Canis lupus familiaris: one gene and its partners. The protein of the gene in region 1 purifies or fractionates together with the protein of each later gene. This does not show direct contact. Links are inferred from orthologs where the notes say so. Each region holds a gene or a part of one and is shown in the gene's direction. Other genes may lie near its edges.

What was found.
Region 2: the proteins of IFT43 (region 1) and IFT140 purify together in Homo sapiens (affinity purification with mass spectrometry; 3 studies listed by BioGRID and IntAct, counting the BioPlex papers as one, with this or other methods). This does not show direct contact. The link is inferred for Canis lupus familiaris from reciprocal best matches to the Homo sapiens genes IFT43 and IFT140.
Region 3: the proteins of IFT43 (region 1) and WDR19 purify together in Homo sapiens (affinity purification with mass spectrometry; 3 studies listed by BioGRID and IntAct, counting the BioPlex papers as one, with this or other methods). This does not show direct contact. The link is inferred for Canis lupus familiaris from reciprocal best matches to the Homo sapiens genes IFT43 and WDR19.
Region 4: the proteins of IFT43 (region 1) and TULP3 purify together in Homo sapiens (affinity purification with mass spectrometry; 5 studies listed by BioGRID and IntAct, counting the BioPlex papers as one, with this or other methods). This does not show direct contact. The link is inferred for Canis lupus familiaris from reciprocal best matches to the Homo sapiens genes IFT43 and TULP3.

What each region holds. Positions count from the first base shown.
Region 1 is NC_049229.1:49,262,812-49,268,501, forward strand, and holds the start of IFT43 (intraflagellar transport protein 43 homolog), read left to right. Parts: upstream 1-1,761; 5' UTR 1,762-1,856; coding exon 1,857-1,910; intron 1,911-4,985; coding exon 4,986-5,075; intron 5,076-5,690. UniProt on the Homo sapiens protein: As a component of IFT complex A (IFT-A), a complex required for retrograde ciliary transport and entry into cilia of G protein-coupled receptors (GPCRs), it is involved in ciliogenesis.
Region 2 is NC_049227.1:39,775,477-39,780,655, forward strand, and holds part of IFT140 (intraflagellar transport protein 140 homolog), read left to right. Parts: intron 1-358; coding exon 359-565; intron 566-830; coding exon 831-1,043; intron 1,044-1,123; coding exon 1,124-1,290; intron 1,291-2,338; coding exon 2,339-2,480; intron 2,481-5,179. UniProt on the Homo sapiens protein: Component of the IFT complex A (IFT-A), a complex required for retrograde ciliary transport and entry into cilia of G protein-coupled receptors (GPCRs).
Region 3 is NC_049224.1:73,740,755-73,745,933, reverse strand, and holds part of WDR19 (WD repeat-containing protein 19), read left to right. Parts: intron 1-1,268; coding exon 1,269-1,409; intron 1,410-1,489; coding exon 1,490-1,572; intron 1,573-2,022; coding exon 2,023-2,106; intron 2,107-3,308; coding exon 3,309-3,455; intron 3,456-3,994; coding exon 3,995-4,119; intron 4,120-5,179. UniProt on the Homo sapiens protein: As component of the IFT complex A (IFT-A), a complex required for retrograde ciliary transport and entry into cilia of G protein-coupled receptors (GPCRs), it is involved in cilia function and/or assembly.
Region 4 is NC_049248.1:4,214,754-4,219,932, forward strand, and holds part of TULP3 (tubby-related protein 3), read left to right. Parts: intron 1-2,253; coding exon 2,254-2,366; intron 2,367-2,669; coding exon 2,670-2,784; intron 2,785-5,179. UniProt on the Homo sapiens protein: Negative regulator of the Shh signaling transduction pathway: recruited to primary cilia via association with the IFT complex A (IFT-A) and is required for recruitment of G protein-coupled receptor GPR161 to cilia, a promoter of PKA-dependent basal repression machinery in Shh signaling.

The sequences.
Region 1 (5,690 bases):
TCCACCTCTACCGAATCAGTTTCCAGGGATGGGGCCCTGGCACATGTATTTTTTAACAAACCTCACAGGTGATTCAGGTGCTCAGCAAGGTCTGGAAGCCACTGCTCTAGGGTTTCTTTCTGCTCAGTGAGTACCATGCACCTTTTGTTTTCCGGAAGTCAGGGAAGAAGTGGGAGTTAAGGTCTGAAAACTGCCAGCAAGGTGGTAGTAGTGTAGCTATGAGCTCACACAAGATGGAAAAATCCAAAGATTAATCCCTTCTTCCTCATCTGGTGCCAAGGAAGAAGAAAACTAAGGATTCATTGGAGCCAGTATTTCATTTATCTTGGGTTTTGGCAATGAACATTTCTTCAGATTAAAATCTAACCGGGTATTCTCAGTGAGAATCCGATCCTAGGGGAAATCCCTAAAAGCAATTACCAGGGAGGAGACTGAGGTCCAGAGAGGGCTTTGCCTGGCCACACAGGTAGTTATCAGCAGCGCCAGGAAGAGACCGTCAACTCTTGGGACATGCAAGCAGTGCTATTGCTGTTGCAAGGCTAGCACATAACCCTACCCAGTAAACATGTGGATGACCAATTAAATTGAGTAATTTAAGGGGTATTTAAGAAGCTTGTAATCCAGCCTTAGGGGCTGCTACTCCCACTTTCAAGTCCTTGCTTTTTAGCAGTGGTTATCTAGACCTCACCCACAGCATGATATTGGGGATATTGCTCACTTTCAGGCCCATGAGATCATCTTCTGGGGGCCCTAGCTGACCAGTACCAGGGACCTGGCCATTGGTGTTGACTTGGGGATCTTACATGGAGAGTCAGTGAAGACTCAACTCGCTTGCCCCATTAGGTTGGCAATTTGAAGGACACCTTCCTCTGCTGACCTAGGAGTATGGCAGGCACCCAGTAATATGTGCGGGAGAAAAATACTCTTATAAGATCTGATATCAAAAAGGCATCAAGCTCTGCTGCTTGGCACTCAGGTGATTTCCCTCAAGCCACCTCTTTGCACCTTACAGTCCTCAATTGCTGGATAGAAGTATCACTGATGCTCACTTTGTGGAGTTGTTGGAGGGATTACTTGACTTTTTTTTTTTAAGATTTTATTTATTTATGATATATATAGAGAGAGAGGCAGAGACACAGGCAGAGGGAGAAGCAGGCTCCATGCCGGGAGCCTGATGTGGGACTCCATCCCAGGTCTCCAGGGTCACGCCCTGGGCCAAAGGCAGGTGTTGAACCGCTGAGCCACCCAGGGATCCCTGGATTACTTGACTTTTGAATGTTATCACTTAGGTATTTGACGTCTTGGTTCAGCCTCTCTGTAAACTTCTTGAAGGCAGAGATGATGTATTTTGCATGTTCCGTTAGAAACTATTTATTTGCCCCTGACCACTCCCCCCTCCTGTGAGCCTGTTTTCTTATCTGTCTGATGGAGATAAGAGACTCACCTTGTTTTTCACATAAGGTTATTATACCCTTCCCGTGAGCTAATAAGTCTTAAAGTCCTTTATTCATAGCGAAAGGCTATATAAATAGAAGGGATCGATTTAATCACTACTGTTACTGGTAGTGCTTTGTTCTTAATTAACACCTATTTAGAAAGAGCTACAAATGCAGACAGTTCCTAAAGGCTAATATATTTCTTTTTCACTGTCCCCTAGGAGCGACCTTAGCGGAATTTAACAGAAGTCAGACAAGGCAGTTTAGGAGAGTTTTGGGTTTAAATTCAAAGGGGGCTGCACAGAATCCAGGAATAATGTCGCGGATCCTTTAAATATGGAGATAAAGGGGGCGGAGCCGTCGCCAGGGACGCGACCGGGCCGCCGGGTTTCCAGGAAATGACGTCAGGCGGCCGCGGAGATGGAGGACCTGCTGGACCTCGGCGGGGAGCGGCGTCGCGGCTCGACCACCTCCGTGAGGACCGCCTTGGGGGCCGGGGGCTAGGATTTGGCGGGTGGGGAGGAGCGCGCTGGCCGCCCGGCTTCCCGGAGGCGCCCCGGCCTGGCGTGGCCGCGGTGGCCGCAGCGGGCGGGCGGGCGCGGGGTGAGGCCCGGGAAGAGGCGGCGGCAGCTGCCCCGCCCCCGGGGCGCGGTGCGCTCGGCCGCCGCGGGCCTGGGGTTTGCTCTCTGCGAACTTCTCTAAAAGCAGCAAGACGGGACCTGCCCCTGCCGGCCTCTGAGCCTCCAGCAGGCTCCGCTCTTAGAGCCCCCGGTGCTAGCACACCTGGAAGGAGCGTCTGCGGGGCTGCCCGGGGGCGCCCCGGCCAGGGTCGCGCTTGCACCCACCCTAGGGCTTCCCCCTGACATTTCTCGTGCCCGAAGTTCATGTCAGAACCGCAGTGTTTTACGCGTGGAAGGCAGGCTGGCAGGCCGGCTGAAGGGCCTCTTGTTGCCCGCAGTTCCCACGGGGTGGGGGTGGGTGGGCGTGACCTTAGGTTTATGATTTATAACGTGGAGTGGTGGCCAGGTGCTGGGGGGCCTGGAGGTCAAATGGAGTGTGAAGCTGCTTACTGGGGTTAAAAAAAAAAAAAAAGTTAACATCGTGTGTCAACTACTCAAGTTTCAAATATTAAACGAACCCTCCCCAACCTCGGTTTCCTTATCTCTAGAATGGAGATGTTATCTACTTCAAAGTGCTTCGGTGAAGGTGAAATGGAGTAGTGTATGGGAGGCATTTAATACAGTGCCTGGCACGTGCTAGGTTCTTAGAAGTTAGCTGCTGTGGCTTCTGAGGCTGTGATTTACCCACTTATGTACATTGTCAGTAGATCATTGATGTAGCTTCAAGACCCAGGCTTAATGTTGTTGAGCTCCATTACCATCCCATCAAGCCTCTTTCTTTCTTTCTTTCTTTCTTTCTTTCTTTCTTTCTTTCTGTCTGTCTGTCTGTCTGTCTTTCTTTCTTTCTTTCTTTCTTTCTTTCTTTCTTTCATTTATTTATCAATGAGACACACACACACACACACACAGAGGCAGAGGGAGGAGCAGGCTCCATGGAGGGAGCCCAATGCAGGATTCGATCCTGGGACTCCAGGATCACACCCCAGGCCAAAGGCAGGCTCTAAACTGCCGAGCCACACGGGGATCCCCAGCATCAAGCCTTTCTTACCTTTAAAAATTTGTCAAGATCACAGTCCCTAGAAGATTGGGGCACACAGCAGGTTTTTACTTTCTGCTATGGAAGCTCTAAGTGCTTTTGAAGGGCCCTGGTAAACATCAGCCGTCTTCCAAGGTCCTGGAGGCAAGAATATAGTGTTCTAGGATAAAGCAGGTTGCTTGACTGACCAGTATCAGGTTACTGGGTCTTTCTGATATGTGAACTTGTTTTAGTCTCTGAGAATGTAGTTATGCATTCATGCTTTCAACAAATACTTACTGAGTTCTCACTGTGTATCAGGCACCGTGTTAGGTGCTGGAGCTATAGCAGTGAAAACAAAACAAAAAAAACCCCACAGGGGTACCTGGCTGGCTCAGTCTGGAGCATGCAACCCTTGATCTCAGGCCTCACGTTGGGTATATAAATCATTTAGAAAAAATAAAGTCTTAAACAGCAACAACAAGCAGCAAAGTCCTTGTCCTCGGAGGGCTTACAATCCAGCGGGGGAAGATGGACAATCAACAGACTCTACATTTACAATAGATGTACATTTAAGTATAGTAAAGTAGTTTTGCTACAGGTCATTCCTGTGGATTTAGGCAGGATCTTCAAAAAGCTTAAAACCTTAAAATACTTAACAGTTATTAGAGAAACCATCTGTAAACTGCATTTAGAGACAAGATCATTGAATTTTTGTTTTGACACAACTACACGTAGTATGCCATGTTCTGATACTAAATGTTCGGATAAAGGGGAAAGAGTGATAGCCAAACGGGCGGAATTATCTGCCTTGGGAAGAAAATGGGTGGCTGCTCAGAAAGATGGTTTCCGTCATCCCTGGAACCCAAATTATTGGTAAGAGTTGGAAAAGTAAGCAGTACATAGGGGTTTTTAGGCAACCCACGTGTAACCCCTCTCAGTGTATTGGTGCAGGCGGTTCTTAGAACATCTGAAAACTGAAACTCCAGCCTGAGATAGTGGAAAGAACTGAGGATCTGAAGGCAGAAGATTTTGCTCTTCAATTTACGTCTGCCACTTACCTGCCTTCTTGGGCCCTGCTTTCCACGTTTGTGAAATGGCCTCAGTCCTAGTCCCTGTGAGAATCCAGGGAAGCCACATCTAATGAGATCTAAAAGGGCTTATATTACTGCAGGTTTTAGAAAAGCCAACATATGAAAATAGAAATATTTCAGTATCCACTAGTCTGCCTAAGTAAAGTTTTCTTTCTGTGCTGGGAAGCATATTTGAGACACTGAGCCTCTACCCCAGGAAGGCTTTGGGAAACACCTGCAGATGGTTCATTTGATGACTCAGAATTTAAAGTGTTCTGATTTCGGAAGCTAATGTCTCAAAATTCTTGTAAGAGATTTCCTTTGCTATTTAGATGCACACGTCCAGTTAGTATATACATCAAAGCAAATGCTGTCTATATTTCTCTAGTACTAGTTGCCATGTATTTTAGGAATTCTTTCCCTGAAAAAGCCTTTTTAATAACAATTTCATGCCAAGCTGCAGCTTTGAAATGAGGCCTTTCTAGAATCCTGCATAGGAACGTGAGAGCCTTTACCACGTTCCCTGAGCTTTGGCATGAGATCTCTGTTCATTCTAAAGGAATGTCTGCGTGCATTTCTTTGGGTAGGAAATATCTATGGCAGTTAAAAGAGAAACGTGTGATCATTAATCCAGGAATTTTGTGTTTTCCTAGCAAATAGAAATGGTGTCAGGTGCTTTGTATTAAGTGTGTGGAGCATTTTTGAAAAATAGATTCAACTTATTCAAATCCCATCCTCCATGTCATCATAAATCCTGTCCTTGCTTACCTTCCCAGAATTCCCATCCTCATAGTGGCTCAAAGATGTTTAGGTCAGCAGTGCTCCTCATCTCTCCTTACAGGGGCCCAGGATGGGTCGCCGAGCTCAACAGGAATCAGCTCAAGTTGAGAATCACCTCAGTGGCAAGAACTCTTCAATTCTGACTGGAGAGGTGAGTATTTAAAAAAAAAAAAAAAAGTTTTCCAAGAGTTAGTAATTACTTAATGAGCAAGGATTTGATATTCCATATTTCTTCTCTATAATGCCAGCCCTTCCTCCCATCTTGATTTGGGAATTCCCTTCCTTGGCGTTTGTCCTATTAGCAAGAAATGAAAGAGGAACGTTTTTCCTTTGATGCCAGAATAGTTTCTGTGCATTGCTTTATGTTCTCAGTGAAGAACATTCTTAGGTTCGCTGAAGCAGGGGACTGGGAAGTTTGAAAATCCAGTGGAAATCCAGGTTTTTATTTCTGCCGAATAGATGCCAGTGAGGCATGCTGGTGACGTAAGGTTGGATTACACAGCTGGACGTTTGCTCTCAGTGGTGACCTGCACTTGCTACAGTTTTCAGGCAGGAAGGGGATTAGTCCTGGCCTCGCTTTCCTGGAAACTTTTCTGAGTGGCCTGGAATTGTGGGAATTTATCCAGTTGCTCCGTGGAGGGTGGGTAATCCTGATGAGCAACGCTTTAAATGCCAGGGCACTATTTTTGGCAGTTTACTCACAGCCCCTTTGCACCTTCCTGTCCATTTGAACAAATTTTACTCTTTTCAAGAGTCAGTTTTAGGA
Region 2 (5,179 bases), on another chromosome or scaffold:
AATACATGTTATTTAGTGGAGGGCATAAAATTTCTCTTACATTTTTAAGAAGATTAATCAAAACCCTTAGCCTAAAAAATAGAAAAGCAGTGTAGGAGAAAATTGGTTTCTGGTTTCTTTTCCTCCCACAACCAACACAGTATTCTTTTGAGCTCCACGTTCCCCTCATTGCATCTCAGGGTGTTAAGAGTGTGAATCACATGGCTGAGTGTCGGCCTGTGCCCGGTGAGCGCATCCCATCCTTGCCCTTTCACGTGCACGGCGGGCCGCAGGCAGGGGCTGCCACTGGGCTGAGGGCCTGGCCTCCCCTGCCACCCGGCGGTAACCGCCCCTTGCCGGCTTCTGTGGCGCCCTGCAGTATCACGAAGCCCTGCGGCTTTGCCTGGAGCAGAACATGACCATCACCGAGGAGATGGCCGAAAAGATGACCGTGTCCAAGGACTCCAAGGACCTGTCTGAAGAGTCCCGGCGCCAGCTGCTGGAGCAGATTGCGAACTGCTGCATGCGCCAAGGCAACTACCACCTGGCGACCAAGAAGTACACGCAGGCAGGGAACAAGCTGAAGGTGAGCGCTGGCCCGGGCGGCCCGTCACGTCAACCAGCGTGTGGCTTCCACCGCCAGTTGGGAGCGGTGTCCCCACGGTTGGGTTTCCATCTGACCTGAGTGCAGCTCTTGGGCATGAGTTTCCCCAGCCAGGGCTTCCCAGGACACGGTGCACGGAGGAGCCCTGAGCTCCCTCTTGTAAAATCCTGTGTGATCCTTGGGGGAGGGCTGGGGGACCTTCACCACAGGCTCTGAGCCCAGCCCCCTCTTCCTCTTCCTCATCTAGGCCATGAGAGCACTGCTGAAGTCTGGGGACACGGAGAAAATCGTGTTCTTTGCAGGCGTCTCGAGGCAAAAGGAAATCTACATCATGGCTGCCAACTACCTGCAGTCCCTGGACTGGCAGAAGGAGCCGGAGATCATGAAGAACATCATCAGCTTCTACACCAAGGGGCGCGCCCTAGACCTTCTGGCCGGCTTCTACGATGCCTGTGCCCAGGTACAGAGCCTCCTCCCAGAGCCAGGACCCCCGGGAGGGTTGTGGAGCCCTGTGGGCCCTGACCGGCCTTCTCCATGTAGGTGGAGATCGATGAGTACCAGAACTACGACAAAGCCCACGGGGCGCTGACCGAGGCCCACAAGTGCCTCTCCAAGGCCAAGGCTCAGAGCCCCCTGGATCAGGAGACCAAGCTGGCCCAGCTGCAGAGCAAGATGACGCTGGTGAAGAGGTTCATCCAGGCCCGAAGGTGTGTTCACAGCAGAGCGAGGAAGCGGGGATACAGAGTGGGCTACACCTCGGGCCCCGTGGAGCCCCCAGACCCCTCCGCCTGCCGGGGACCAGACTGGTTTCACTTCTAGTGAGCGTTTCCGCAGAGGAGCCCCGTGGACCCTAAGTAGGACACACGGACATGATGTTGCCTCCTTTGTGCTGAGCTCCTCCTGGGGAATCCCCCAAACCTGGGCACACTGCCAGGAAGACCGTTCCAGAAAGCGAAGTCTGGGGTGGGAGCGGTGAGGCAGATGCAGGTCAAGAGAGTGGATGTCTGAGGGGAGCCCGGGACCTGCTCAGGTGTGAGCGGGACTCCAGCTCAGTGGTTTCAAGCAGGTGGGCCACTATGCCACCTGGGGCCACAGGAAGGAGGAGGCTGGGGGCAGCACGGTGTTGCTATTTCAGGAGAGACCATGCATCTAAATTTGGACATGAGGCCAGTTTTTATCTATTGGCAACTCATTCAGCTTTTCCAATAGCCCGCTGTGTGGGCAGCAGAGCTCAGCTTCTGCCTAAACCAATGAAAGCATTTTCCTTATCTGGGAACAAGCTTTTGGAAGAAAAGATCCAAAACTATATTGAACTCTGTTGTATAAAGTGGGGCTCCCTGCTTGGAGGTTTAAGTCCTGGAAAATCTGCTGAGCTGGGCTGCAGGAGGGCTGGCGGGGGAGGGGGCCGATGGGCGGCAAGGACTGTTCACCCTGTGCCTGACCACCTCGGGCAGGGTGCCCCATGTCCCCCCTGCCTCACAGTGTCCCCCACCAGACTGGTAACCAGGCGGGGCCTGGGGTGACAAGCTGAGTCTAGCGCGGTACAAGGACTATGATTTATTAGTAAGTTTTTATTAAATGAATCAGTGAGTTTATGAATGAACTCATTAATGAATTCATTGCATTCTCGGGAATTGACTTTACAAAAGTTTGGTCCCGCCAACCCGAGCTGCTCATTTGGGCCACAAGGCCACTCTGAGCCTTGATGCACAGCAGTGTTCTGGGTTTGGGCTTCACCGACTCTGCTCTCGGCAGGATGTACCCCGAGGACCCCAAGGAGGCGGTGAAGCAGTGTGAGCTGCTCCTGGAGGAGCCAGAGCTGGAAGGCACCATCCGCATGGGGGACGTCTATGGCTTCCTGGTGCAGCACTACCTGCAGGGGGAGGAGTTCCACATGGTGAGGCTGCAGCCTCTGGCTGCCTGAGGGCTTCAGGGTGCTCCAGGGTGACTGTGGGAAGGCTGCACCCACGGCCGTCCCCACTCTCTGAGCCCAAGGGAGCTGGGAGCTCTTGGTGAGGAGGCGCTTCTCCTGTTCCTGTTGGACTTTGAAATCATTTCAAACTGAGAAGTTTCAAGAATAATAGAACCCAGATATACCCTTTACTAGATTCGGCACTTTTTAACATTTTGCCACACTTATTCTATATGTATGCTTTCATATTTCTATTTTATATATAAAATGGGTATTTTTTCTGAGCGATATGTGAGTTGCAGCCATCTTGCCTTCCCCCTTAGTTCACTAACACTTGGTTGGACACCCAGGGCTGGGACAGCGGGGTCATACGGCTAGTGTGTTTCACGTTTTCTGAAACTGACAGACTTTTCTCTAGTTTCTCTCTTGTAGAGTCTCCTTCGTTGTTGGTGTCAAGGTTATTATAGCCTTATGGTGTGTGCTTGGGAGCGTGCCTGCCTCCTGTATTCTCTGAGTTTAGCTAAGATTGTTCTTATTTCTTTCTTCAGTTTTTTTTTTTTTTTTTTTTTTTATTTATTTATTTATTTATGATAGTCACAGAGAGAGAGAGAGAGGCAGAGACACAGGCAGAGGGAGAAGCAGGCTCCATGCACCGGGAGCCCGATGTGGGATTCGATCCCGGATCTCCAGGATCGCGCCCTGGGCCAAAGGCAGGCGCCAAACCGCTGCGCCACCCAGGGATCCCTCTTTCTTCAGTTTTGATAGAATGCATGAGTGAGCTGACCTGGGCCTGGAGCTTTCTTCGTAGAAGGATTTCTTTTTTCTTTTTCTTTTTTTTTTTAAGATTTTTATTTATTTATTCATGAGAGATACACAGAGAGAGAGAGAGAGGCAGAGACACAGGCAGAGAGAGAAGCAGGCTCCATGCAGGGAGCCCGACATGGGACTCGATCCCGGGTCTCCAGGATCACGCCCTGGACTGAAGTCGGCGCTAAACCGTTGAGCCACCCGGGTTGTCCCTTTTAAAGGATTTCGATGATTCATTTCAGCACAGCGGTGCCCAAACATTTTGGTCTCAGGACCCCTTTGCACTGGGACACCGAGTAGGAAAAGTAGCACTGTTTTGCACGTTTCCAGGTCTCTGTAATGTCTTAGAGGACAGCTGGAGGGACTCTCCATTTCTGCTTCTGCTCTCAATTTGGTCAAATGGTTTTTTTTAGCTGAAATACATGAAGAAAATCTAGCCTCACACCAGTATGCAGGTGAGAGAGGCCGGGCCCTCAGATAGTCGCAGGCCACTTTTGAGCCTACACCAAAACTCAGCCAGTGGGGCCTCTTAACAGCTGCCAAGTCGGGATGTTGTTGTAATACTCCTACGTTACAGCTCGCTGGTCCATCTTGAATCTTTTACACACACATCATTTTATAACAGCAAGTTGTTCATCTGGAAAATATGGCTTCACCAAATTAGCAAATGTTAACATGTTTCATTATAGAAATCAAAAAATCCTGTTTGCTGGTATCACCATCAACCTCATCAGAAAAGTCTTTAGGTTTTGGGAGGATGTCCAGCTCTTGGTGGCTGATACCTAAGGTTTCTGAAATTCTTCTTGTGAAAGCTCCCATTCTATCCTGAGTGAAAACACGGCCCATTACTATTTTCCTTGAAGTGGTGGCCGCCTTTGTTCATTTCTGAGAAAACATCTGCCACAAACCCAGGCCTGAGTAAAACCACCTGAACTTCAGTCACGTTTCCAAAGATGGTGTCCCGCGCGGAAGGGACGAGTTGAGCTCACACTGCACTGATGTGCTCCCTCATCTCTGCCCACACTTGGTATGATGGGCCTTTAATGCCCACGGTCCCAGTGGGTGCAGAGCGAAGTCTCTATGTGGCTTGAGTGTACCCTCTCCAGACTAGCAGCGTTGAGCCCCTTGTCATATGCTTATCTCCTCCTCTGAGTGTCCGAATCATCCCCCATTGTTTTGTGCAGGGTTTGTCTTCTTCCGTTGCTTGTGGCCCTTGTGAATTCGAGGTACTTTTCCGTGACTGGCAGATGCCCTGCCAGTGTTTTCTGTCCATCTGTGGGAAGTCCTCTTCTTTCTCTGTGTCCTCTCCCTATGGAACTCCAATTATCTGTGTAGATTGTGTCTTGGCTCAAATGATTCTCTTCTCTTTTCATTTTCCAGAATTTTTTCTGATTTTTATATTTGGCCCTTGCTTTTGCTTCAAGTTCATGAGTCTTGGACAGTATCCACTCTGATGCTGCTCCTGTCCCTACCTTTCACCAGGCATTAAAACTTGCCCTTCTAGTACGCTCTGGATCGTGTCCAGTTAGTCTCTATGATTTGTCTTGTCTTTCGAGTGTAAGTCGTGGTTTTTCTTGCTTCTTGCATCCAGCAATTCTTTTATGTCCCAGACACTGTGGACAAACCAGTGTTGAGACTCTGCATTCTGTTATGTTCCTGCAAAGAGGATATTCATTCGTTTGTTCCTTCCTTCCTTCCTTCCTTCCTTCCTTCCCCTCCACTCAACTTAGAGACCTAGTTCTCCCCCGTGGCAGCCAATGGCAGGACTCGCTGCTCAGTACATTAGCTTGGGTGGGACTTGAAGTCAGCCCCCATCACTCTTAATTTTGCCAGATTCTTTGCTGTCTTGTTTGGATCCTACAGAACTTAGCAATCTT
Region 3 (5,179 bases), on another chromosome or scaffold:
TCACACAGTGTTCCACCAGATATGCTGCTTCACATAAGATGCAATCTGACATTATATTTCACTAGTCCAGATTAGTTACTTGAAAGTTATTTAGTTATCTTTAATGAATTAAACAATTTTAATTTTACATAAAGTTTTTATTTTTAGAAAGTTTGTTTTTTTTTTGTTGTTGTTTTTTTTTTTTAATTTATGATAGTCACCGAGAGAGAGAGAGGCAGAGACACAGGCAGAGGGAGAAGCAGGCTCCACGCACCGGGAGCCCGATGTGGGATTCAATCCCAGATCTCCAGGATCGCGCCCTGGGCCAAAGGCAGGCGCCAAACCGCTGCGCCACCCAGGGGTCCCTACATAAAGTTTTTAATGTTTAATCATGACTAGTAGAGAAATCTTCAGTTTGATAAATGGTTTTTCCATAATTTTGTTCATAGCACTTATGCTGTGTATATTACCTGTTATATAAAATTTTATACCAAGAAGACATACAAAGATATACAAGGCATTATGACAAGGGATAGTAAAAATTTGTTCTTAAACATAAAAGATCTAGACTTTTTTTGGGGGGGGGTGATGACTTTTTTTTTTGAAATATTTTTAAATTTTTATTTAAATTCAATTAACATATAATGTATTATTGGTTTCAGAGATAGATCAGTCTTATATAATACCCAGTGCTCATTATATCATGTGCCCTCCTTAATGTCCATCATCCAATTACCCCGTCCCTCCACCCCCCTTGCCTCCAGTGACCCTCAGTTTTTTTTATTTTATATAAATTCATGTTAGTTAATATATAGTGTATTATTAGTTTCAGAGGAAGAATTTAGTGAATCCAGTTCTATATAACACCAAGTGTTCATTATATCAAGTGCCCTCCTTAATGCCTGTCATCAGTTACCTCATCCACCTCCCCTCCTGAACCATCAGTTTGTCCTAGAGTTGAGTCTTTATGGTTTACCTCCCCCTCTGCTTTTATCTTATTTTTCCTTCCCTTCCCCTATGTTCATCAGTTTTGTTTCTTAAATTCCACATGAGTGAAATTATATGGTATTTGAAAAGATGTAGACTTCTGAATATATATATAACTTTGTAACAGGTGATTTAGGAAAAAAAAAAAAAAGAATTCAGTGTTATTTCATAATCTTGAGAGATTTGCCTGAAAGGATTAATGGAAGTAACATTTGGGCTCATTTGAGAAAGTAATTGTTTGGCTGAAATACATTAGTATAACTCAGGGTCTGATTTGTTAGTTATTTGCCTGATAATTCCAGGAACATGATGAACTGTGTCTGGCTGGAGTGGCCCAGATGTCCATACGAATGGGAGACATACGCCGAGGAGTTAACCAGGCCCTGAAGCATCCCAGCAGGGTCCTGAAAAGAGACTGTGGAGCTATCTTGGAGAATATGAAGGTATACTTTTCTCTGAATAAATATTCCTGCGATCTTATATGTAACAAATTCAGTGTTTTAATAATCTCATATTACTTTAGCAATTTTCAGAAGCAGCCCAACTGTATGAAAAAGGTCTCTATTTTGACAAAGCAGCCTCTGTTTACATCCGCTGTAAGAATTGGTAAGAATTTGCTACAGTTTGTTCTGAGCAGGTGTGGAAATGAATGGGTCCTGGTGGTCTGCCCTCCTGCCTGTACATCCTGTTCCCTCTTCTCTTTTTCTCCTTCTTCTTAGAGGAGTTCATAGTTTGCTTTCCAAAAAAAACAAAACAAAACAGTACATCCTGTCAGTTTGGTGTGGGGACATCCCTGATCAGACACATTACTGGGGAAAATAGCCCTATTGTCCTCGAAGAGCTAATGAACTAACCTTCATTTTCTCACAGAGAAGGAGGACAGGGGTGGGTGTCATAAGGAAAAGCAGTTATGTCTGCTTTTATCCGTAGGAAGCAAGATTTTTTTTTTTAAAGATCATGAGAACTGTGTTTTGAATCCTAAAAACATCTGATTGTAAGGAGCTACTTTGGGAGTGAATATAGTGCTGACATTATTGTCCTAAACCTACATTTTAGGGCAAAAGTTGGTGAGCTTCTGCCTCGTGTTGCTTCCCCAAAGATTCACCTGCAGTATGCCAAAGCAAAAGAAGCAGATGGAAGGTTTGTACGTTGTCTCAAATTCATACAAATTGAAAGCACTGTGTAAGTTTGATAAATTAACCATCCACCTTTGTACCTCTACGAAAGGCAGAGTGGAGGAAGAAAACATCTTTACCCTTTGCCAGGCCTGAAGTGCCAGACTGTTCAGTTTCTCCCATATCTTATATCCCTCAATTGATCCTTTGTGTGTTCAGATATAGAGGCTACTGTCTCTTTTGAGAGTTAAATACTAAAAGTTGATATTTTGATATAATATGGCATTAAAACAAAGTGATCCTCATTTTATTAAGAGGAATAACTTACAGATGCAGAAGACAAGAGCAGTGAAGAAATATGAACTCCATACCTATGACTGCACAGTATGAGCTGCAAAACAATGTCAAGATATTGCAGTGGAGAGTTAATATCCTAAATATACAAAGATTCCCTGCAACTTGATATAAGAAATTCAAAGTCAAGGAATCCCAGAGTAGAAAACACAATTATGAAATTGCTTTTCATACAAACAACAAAAGTTCTACCTCACTAATAATAGCTAAAGTGACAGTATGTTATTTTTTAACCTATAATATCATGGAAGATTTTAAACTAATCACCAAATCATCAAAACATACTCTGAAAAAAAAAAAAGTACTCTGTATGCATGATTGATGGGAGTATAATTTCTATAGCCTTTGGAAAATTATTTGGCAATAGACATTAAAAGATTTTTAAAGGTCAGTACCATCTACTTTTAGAAAAGCAACCTTAGGAAACAGATATAACACTAAGTATCTTGTTAAAAGGGAAAGAGCTGGAGAGCTCGTCTGGAAGAGAAGTCTTGAGCTCCATCTAGAGGTCAACGTGCAAAGATTTTCTCTGTCACCCTCAGCTGTATCCATAAATGTGAAATAGTCTGTATTTTCTTTAAAATAAATTTCCATTCCTACTCAAAAAACAACAGCACAGTGAGGAAAAAAAGCAAAGTGTAAAAAATGATACGGTTTAGACGAGAAAAAGCAATTTGATATTAACACTTTACTGTTAGTTTATCAGACCTCTAAAAAGAACACATTTTATATATTTATATATATTTCATTTATATATATTTCAAGAAAAATAAGCAACCACCATCAGTAAAAAAAACTGTCCAATTTATTGACACTTTCCCCCCAAATGTGGCAGTGTTAAGAAAGCTTTTCTGAACCAAATATTTCTTATAGATACAAAGAAGCTGTTGTGGCTTATGAGAATGCAAAACAATGGAACAGCGTAATCCGCATCTATCTGGATCACCTCAACAATCCCGAAAAGGCTGTCAGTATTGTCAGAGAGACCCAGTCTTTGGATGGCGCCAAAATGGTAGCCAGGTAACAGAATGCATTATTTTTGGACTTCCAAAAACTAGCCTTAAAAGAAAGTGCCCCTTCCCTTCATCAAATAAATACATTCAAAGGGAATATTTATTCCTTTTCATTTTTTTGGTAGGTCTAAGTGTTTAAATTCAGTCTGTTTCTGGTAGAGTGTAAGAGTTCATTTTTCAAATATAAGCATATGTAGTGTGTAGAACTGCAGTTTGATTAATTTTTATTTTTTTATTTTTTATTTTTTTAATTTATTTTTTTTAAGATTTTATTTATTTATTCATGATAGTCACACAGAGAGAGAGGGAGAGGCAGAGACACAGGCAGAGGGAGAAGCAGGCTCCATGTAGGGAGCCCGACGTGGGACTCGATCCCGGGTCTCCAGGATCGCGCCCTGGGCCAAAGGCAGGCGCCAAACCACTGCGCCACCCAGGGATCCCTAATTTTTATTTTTAAGTGGTTTCTCATAGTTGCAAAAAGATTTGATTTTGTAAATGACAAACTTATTTTACATGAATCAAGGTGATTAAAGTACTTTGTTTTAGGTTTTTCCTACAGTTGGGTGACTACGGGTCTGCCATCCAGTTTCTCGTTATGTCTAAATGTAATAATGAAGCTTTCACACTGGCTCAGCAGCACAACAAAATGGAAATCTATGCAGACATTATTGGTAAATACCATTGTTTTCCCAAATTTCTCCTAAAGATTTGTGACCTAGAAATACTTGACCCTTAGAATCTAATTATCAGATTGGCATGCCCATAAGCACACGCACACACACCATTTATACGTAGATACATGCATATCTATATGTTACTTGTTAGATTTCAAGATTCCTACCGTCTTAAAGGTGAAATGGAATTATAAGACCATTTTCAAAAATTAAGGTTTTTGGGTAACCTCTAAAAGAGGCCAGATTTCCCAAATTCTGTTTGTCAACCAGTAGTAAAACAAAGTTCCAAAATGAAGGTGATAGAAAACACAAAAGAATTGTCTAAGAAATATTTTCATGAATTTTTAAAAGTGACTTACAAATTAAGATTATATGGTTATTCTTTGATGAAGAGTGATATACACAAGATGTGGTTTTCCAAAAGAAAGTCCAAAAGAGAATTTTATAGTCTGAGAACACATGCTAATAGGTTTTCTTCCCTTGCTTGCAATTATTCTTAGAAACTACTGAAATAATTTTCAGATTCTCATTTTATGGGCCATACATAATGTTATTTGTGGTAGTGTTTTGTTTTGTTTTTATTGTAGAAAAAGTATATAACATAAATGTGCCATTTTAACCATTTTTACATGTACAGTTCAGTCATATTACGTACATTCACATTATTGTACAACCATCACCATCACTCATCTCCAGAACTTTTTCATCATCCTGAACTAAAACCCTGTATTCATTAAACAGCACCTCCCCACTTCCCTGTCCACCAACCCCTAGTAGCCACTATTCTACTTTGTCTCTATAAATTTGACTATTCATTGTACATCATATAAGTGGAGTCACAAAATATTTGTCCCTTTGTGTTATTTGGGGTTTTTTAAAATTTCTTTTTGTTTATTATTTATTTATTTATTTATTTTTTAAGTTGGCTCCACGCTCAGCGTGGAGTCCAGTGTGAGGCTTGAACTCATGACCCTGAGATCAAGACCTGAGGTCTAATCAAGAGCTGGCACTCAATGGACTGAATCCCCCCAGACACCCTTGTGTTATTTGGTTTTAA
Region 4 (5,179 bases), on another chromosome or scaffold:
TAAGCTGATGATTTTAAGAGCATAGAAATGAGATGATGATTGATATCGTTATTATAACCTCTAATTTATTAAGTGTTTATGATGCACTGGGCATGTGCTTAGTGCTTTGTGTCTATATAATCTTCTACAATCCTAATCACAACCTTGTAAGATAGGATTTCTTATCTCTGCTTTAGAGATGAGTAGCTGGGGCTTGAGGAGTGACATACCTGCCCCAAATCATGCTAAGTGGCAGAACCCGAGTCAAACCCCTATCTGTTTGATTCCACAGTCCCTTTCTTAATTATTGCCATTCTCCTGCTTCCCTGTTGTCCAAGTCCAGTAGGGTATGGGAAGGATACACAAGTGTGACAGTGTTCATGTCACTGGAGCCACAGGGGTTTAAAACACCAACATCCAAAAAGGAATAGGAAGAAAGCAGCTGTGGTAAAGAATGGGAAGAGTGGGTAGTCAGCATCCTGTGTCTCCTGAAGTTGGAAAGACCCTTCCTCACTAATTCGGATGAAGCTTTTTTGAAAAAGCCACTGGAGGGATCCCTGGGTGGCGCAGCGGTTTGGCGCCTGCCTTTGGCCCAGGGCGCGATCCTGGAGACCCGGGATCGAATCCCACATCAGGCTCCCGGTGCATGGAGCCTGCTTCTCCCTGTGCCTATGTCTCTGCCTCTCTCTCTCTCTCTCTGTGACTATCATAAATAAATAAAAATTAAAAAAAAAAAAAAAAGAAAAAAAAAAGCCACTGGAGGTTTTAGGGATAAGATTGCACATAGTTGCAGTAGTCCCCTCCCATCCACCCGGTCCAATTTTTTGCCTTCTGCAGTTTCAGTCACCTACAGTCACTGCTGTCTGGAAGCAGATGGTCCTCCTTCTGACATAGGTTGGGCAGGTCAATAGTAGCCAAATGCCCCCTCTCTTCATCTTATCACATAGGCATTTTACCATCTCACAGCAGCATGAGAAGAAGGGGAGTATGGTACAGTGAGATATTTTGAGAGAGAAAGACTGCATTCATACAACTTTCATTATAGTATATTGTTAGAATTGTCCTATTAGTGTTGTTGCTAATCTCTTGCTATGCCTTATTTATAATTTAAACTTTGCCCCAGGTATGTGCAGAAAAAAACATAGTTTGTATAGTGTTCAGTACTATCTGTGGTTTTAGGCATCCCCAAGGGTCTTGGGACACAGCCTCTGGTGGGTAAGGGGGTCTAGTATATATGGAGAATCCAGCTAAGTGAATTTTGAAAAGCTGTATAGTAGGGAAACCCTGATAGTGAATTCTGAGAAGCATTATAAGGATTAAAAAAAGAATTGAAGTTCCAAAGATTGGTCTTCTCCAAGAAAACACCTAGTGGCAGATGACACTGGTGCCAGAGGAAGCACTGGGATGGGAGGCCACATGGCTTCAGCCGTCAAGGCCAAGGAGCTCATGACAGCAAGACTAAGAATGAGGAGTGGGTGCCTCTCTCCAATTTGGGTTGTCTTGTCAAGGACATAAAGTTCAGGTCCCCAGAGGAGATCTATCTTTTCCATCTGCCCATCAGGGAATCTGTGATCTTTGAGGTATTCCTGGGATCGTTCTTCCAGGATGAGGTTTTGAAGATCATACCTGTGCAAAAGCAGACCCATGCTGGCAGGCAGACTGGGTTCAAGGCATTTGTTGCCATTGGGAATTACAACAGACACATGCGTCTGGGTGTTAATGCTCCAACGAGGTAGCCACTGACTTCTGCAAGACCATCATTCTGGCCAAGATCTCTAGTCCCAGTGCAGCAAGGTCTCTGGGAGAACAAGACTGGAAAGCTCCACATCATCACTTGTGAGGTGACTGGACACTGCAGCTCTGTGCTGGTGCACCACATCCCCACCCCCAGGGGCACTGGTATCATGTGGGCTGCTACACGTGGGCCAGGGGCTGCAGAGCCACCCTGGGCAACTTCGCCAAGGCCACTTTTGATGCCATCTACAAGACCTACAGCTGTCTCATCTCAACTCTGGGAAGAGACTCTTTTCACCAAGGCCCCCTATCAGGCATTCACTGACCATCTTGTAATGACCCACACCAGATGCTGTTGCCATCATGAAGTTTATATACAAGAAAAATTAAGGTGAATTAAGCCTGTTAAAAAACAAAAGATCAAAAGATTGACTGCTTGGTACATGATAGGCACTTGCTAAACATTTGCCAAGTAAATAGGTAGGACGGACTGTGGTGGTTCTCTTGACATTTTTGACTGGCATTTTTTCTTTTTTCCAGATATTTCTTCTTGCGGGTAGAAAGCGGAAAAAGAGCAAAACTTCTAACTACCTTATTTCCACTGATCCAACAGATTTATCTCGTGAAGGGGAAAGTTATATTGGCAAGCTCAGGTGAGAGCAGCCTTGTATCACTGACCTATTCTTTCTGATACTTTTATTCCTGTAGTTTCAGAGCAATCTGTATTTTTTTTTACTCTGAGCATGTATGATGTTGTAATCTTTAAAAAAAAAAAAAAGTTCACAGAGCATCTACGTCCCTTCCTTATGTTAATGAGAGATCTTTGAAACAGTGGCGATGAATATTTGGAAAATGGCAGAAGGGCTTCCATTCTGTTCCATACCTGTCCTAGATTTATATTTGTGTAGGAGAAAAAATATAGATCATTAATGGCAACTTTGTCCTCTCGATTCTAGATCCAACCTCATGGGGACCAAGTTTACAGTTTATGACCATGGTGTCAGCCCAACCAAGGCCCAAGGCCTGGTAGAAAAGGCCTATGTCCGGCAGGAGTTGGCAGCCATCTGTTACGTATGTGCCATTCTCGTAAAGCACTCTTTTTCTGAGTCTTTTCCCTAATCTCCTGGGTGTCCTGCTGGCACTTGAAACTTACCCAACACTGAGCTCATGATCTTCCTTCCGAAGCTTGTTTCTATTTCTATAATCCTCCTCTTCTGTTGCTGGTTGCATTTTTCTCTGTATATTCAAGTTTTAATTATTTATGAATTGCCAAGTTTGGTTATTTTTTATTTTTTTCTTTAAAAATTTTTCTTATATTCAAATTCAATTAATTAACATATAGTGTATCATTAGTTTCAGTGGTAGAGTTCTATTATTCATCAGTTGCATACAACACCCATTTCACCACCACGTCCTCCTTTATGCCCATCACCCAGCTACCCCATCCCCCCAACCCCTTCGCCTCCAGCAATCCTTAGTTTACTTCCTAGAGTTCAGAGTCTCTTACGGTTTGTCTCCTTCTCTGATTTCGCATTTCTTCTCTTACCTGCTCTTTCGTTTTCCTAAAACACAGCTTCAGTAGATCCTGTAGTTTTCCTGTTTCAAATCTTCTAACGACTACCCATTGCATCCAGAATAAAGCCCTAATGTGTTAGCCTTTCCTCCCAGACTCCTCTAGTGGTCCTGGCCCCCTCCTGTTCCCCTGTTCTAGCCATGACAGCCCCCTGTCATTCCTTTGCTGCACCATGTGATCTTTCTTCATCCAAGAGCCTTCCTTTCCCTTTCCTTGTCCTTTATCTAATCAGTTGATGCCATTGGAGAAGTCTTTCCTGACCATTGATAGAGTCTACCTTATGTACACATCCCCATGGCACCCTGTGCTTCTTCTTGTAACTAACACATTATACTTATTACTGCTTGTTCAACATGAACCTTCTCTACCAATTTGCAAACTCTTATTCTCTGCTACATCCTCACTAGCAGAGGGACCAGTGCAGGTAGGCACTCAAAGTGTTGTTGAGTAAAAGAAAGCAAGAATCAAATAACCTGACTTAGCTGTTGCTTTGATTCCAAAGTCTTAACTTTTGCTTAATTTAGAATTAATCTCATCATTTCCCATGAGGTTTTATCTATGTGATTGAGAAGCATTTGACTTAGTATTTTGTAACATAGTATATTTTTTTCTCCCACCTTCAGAATCCATTACATATTTCAATTACGTATAACTTTCATATGTATGTACATATGTATGTGTATGTATGTATAGGTGTACAAACACAAACGTATATACCTACCTATTTGCTGTGTTATTTTATTCATATATAGTCTTCCTGGCCTGACAGGTGTTTAAGGTTTTTTTTTAAGGTTTGTTTCCTTTTTTTTTTTTTTTTCAGATTTTATTTATTCATGAGAGATAGAGACAGAAGCAGAGCCAAAGGCAGACACTGAAGTACTGAGCCACCCAGGCATCCCATGTTTCTTTTTTTTAAGATTTTATTTATTAATGAGAGACACAGAGCGAGAGAGAGAGAGCGTGGCAGAGACACAGGCAGAAGGAGAAGCAGGCTCCGGGCAGGGAGCCTGACATGGGACTTGATCCTAGGTCTCCAGGATCAGGCCCTGGGCTGAATGTGGCGCTAAACTACTGGTCCACCCGGGCTGGCCATTTTTTTTTTCTTTTTAATTAAGGTATAATTGACATATTAGTTTCAGATGTACAATGTAATGACTTTTTTTTTTTTTTTTTAGTTTTTAAAAACTACTTATTTTTAAAGATCTTATTTATTTATTTGAGAGAGTGAGAGCGAGCGAGCATGAGAGGGGACGAGGGGCAGAGGGAGAAGCAGACTTTCTCTGAGCAGGGAGCCCAATGTGGACTCAATCCCAGGATCTCGAGACCGTGACCTGAGCCATAAGCAGATGCTTAACCAAGTGAGCCACCTAGGCGCCCCAAGATTTATTTATTTATTTGAGAGAGAGTGCATGTGCACACGTGAGTGGTGGGAGCAGTAGAGGGAGAGAATTCCCCAAGTAGACTCTGCCCTTACTGCAGAGCCCAATGTGAGGCTGGATCTCAGGACCCATGATGTGACCTGAGCCGAAACCAAGAGTTAGACACTTAATCGACTGAGCCACCCAGGTGCCCCAATGTAATGATTTTATATATGTATATATTGCAAGATTTTATATATGTATATATTGCAAGATTTATATATATGTATATATTGCAATGATTTTATATATGTATATATTGCAAGATATGTATATATTGCATCACAGTAAGTCTAGTTAACATCCATCACCACACATGGTTATAATTTTTTTCTTGTGATGAGAACTTCCATGATCTACTCTTAGCAACTTTCAAATATTTACAATATTATTGTTTCCTGTGTATAGTTGACACACATAGTTTCAAGTATACTACTTAGGGATTTATACATTATGCTATGTTCACCAGAAGTGT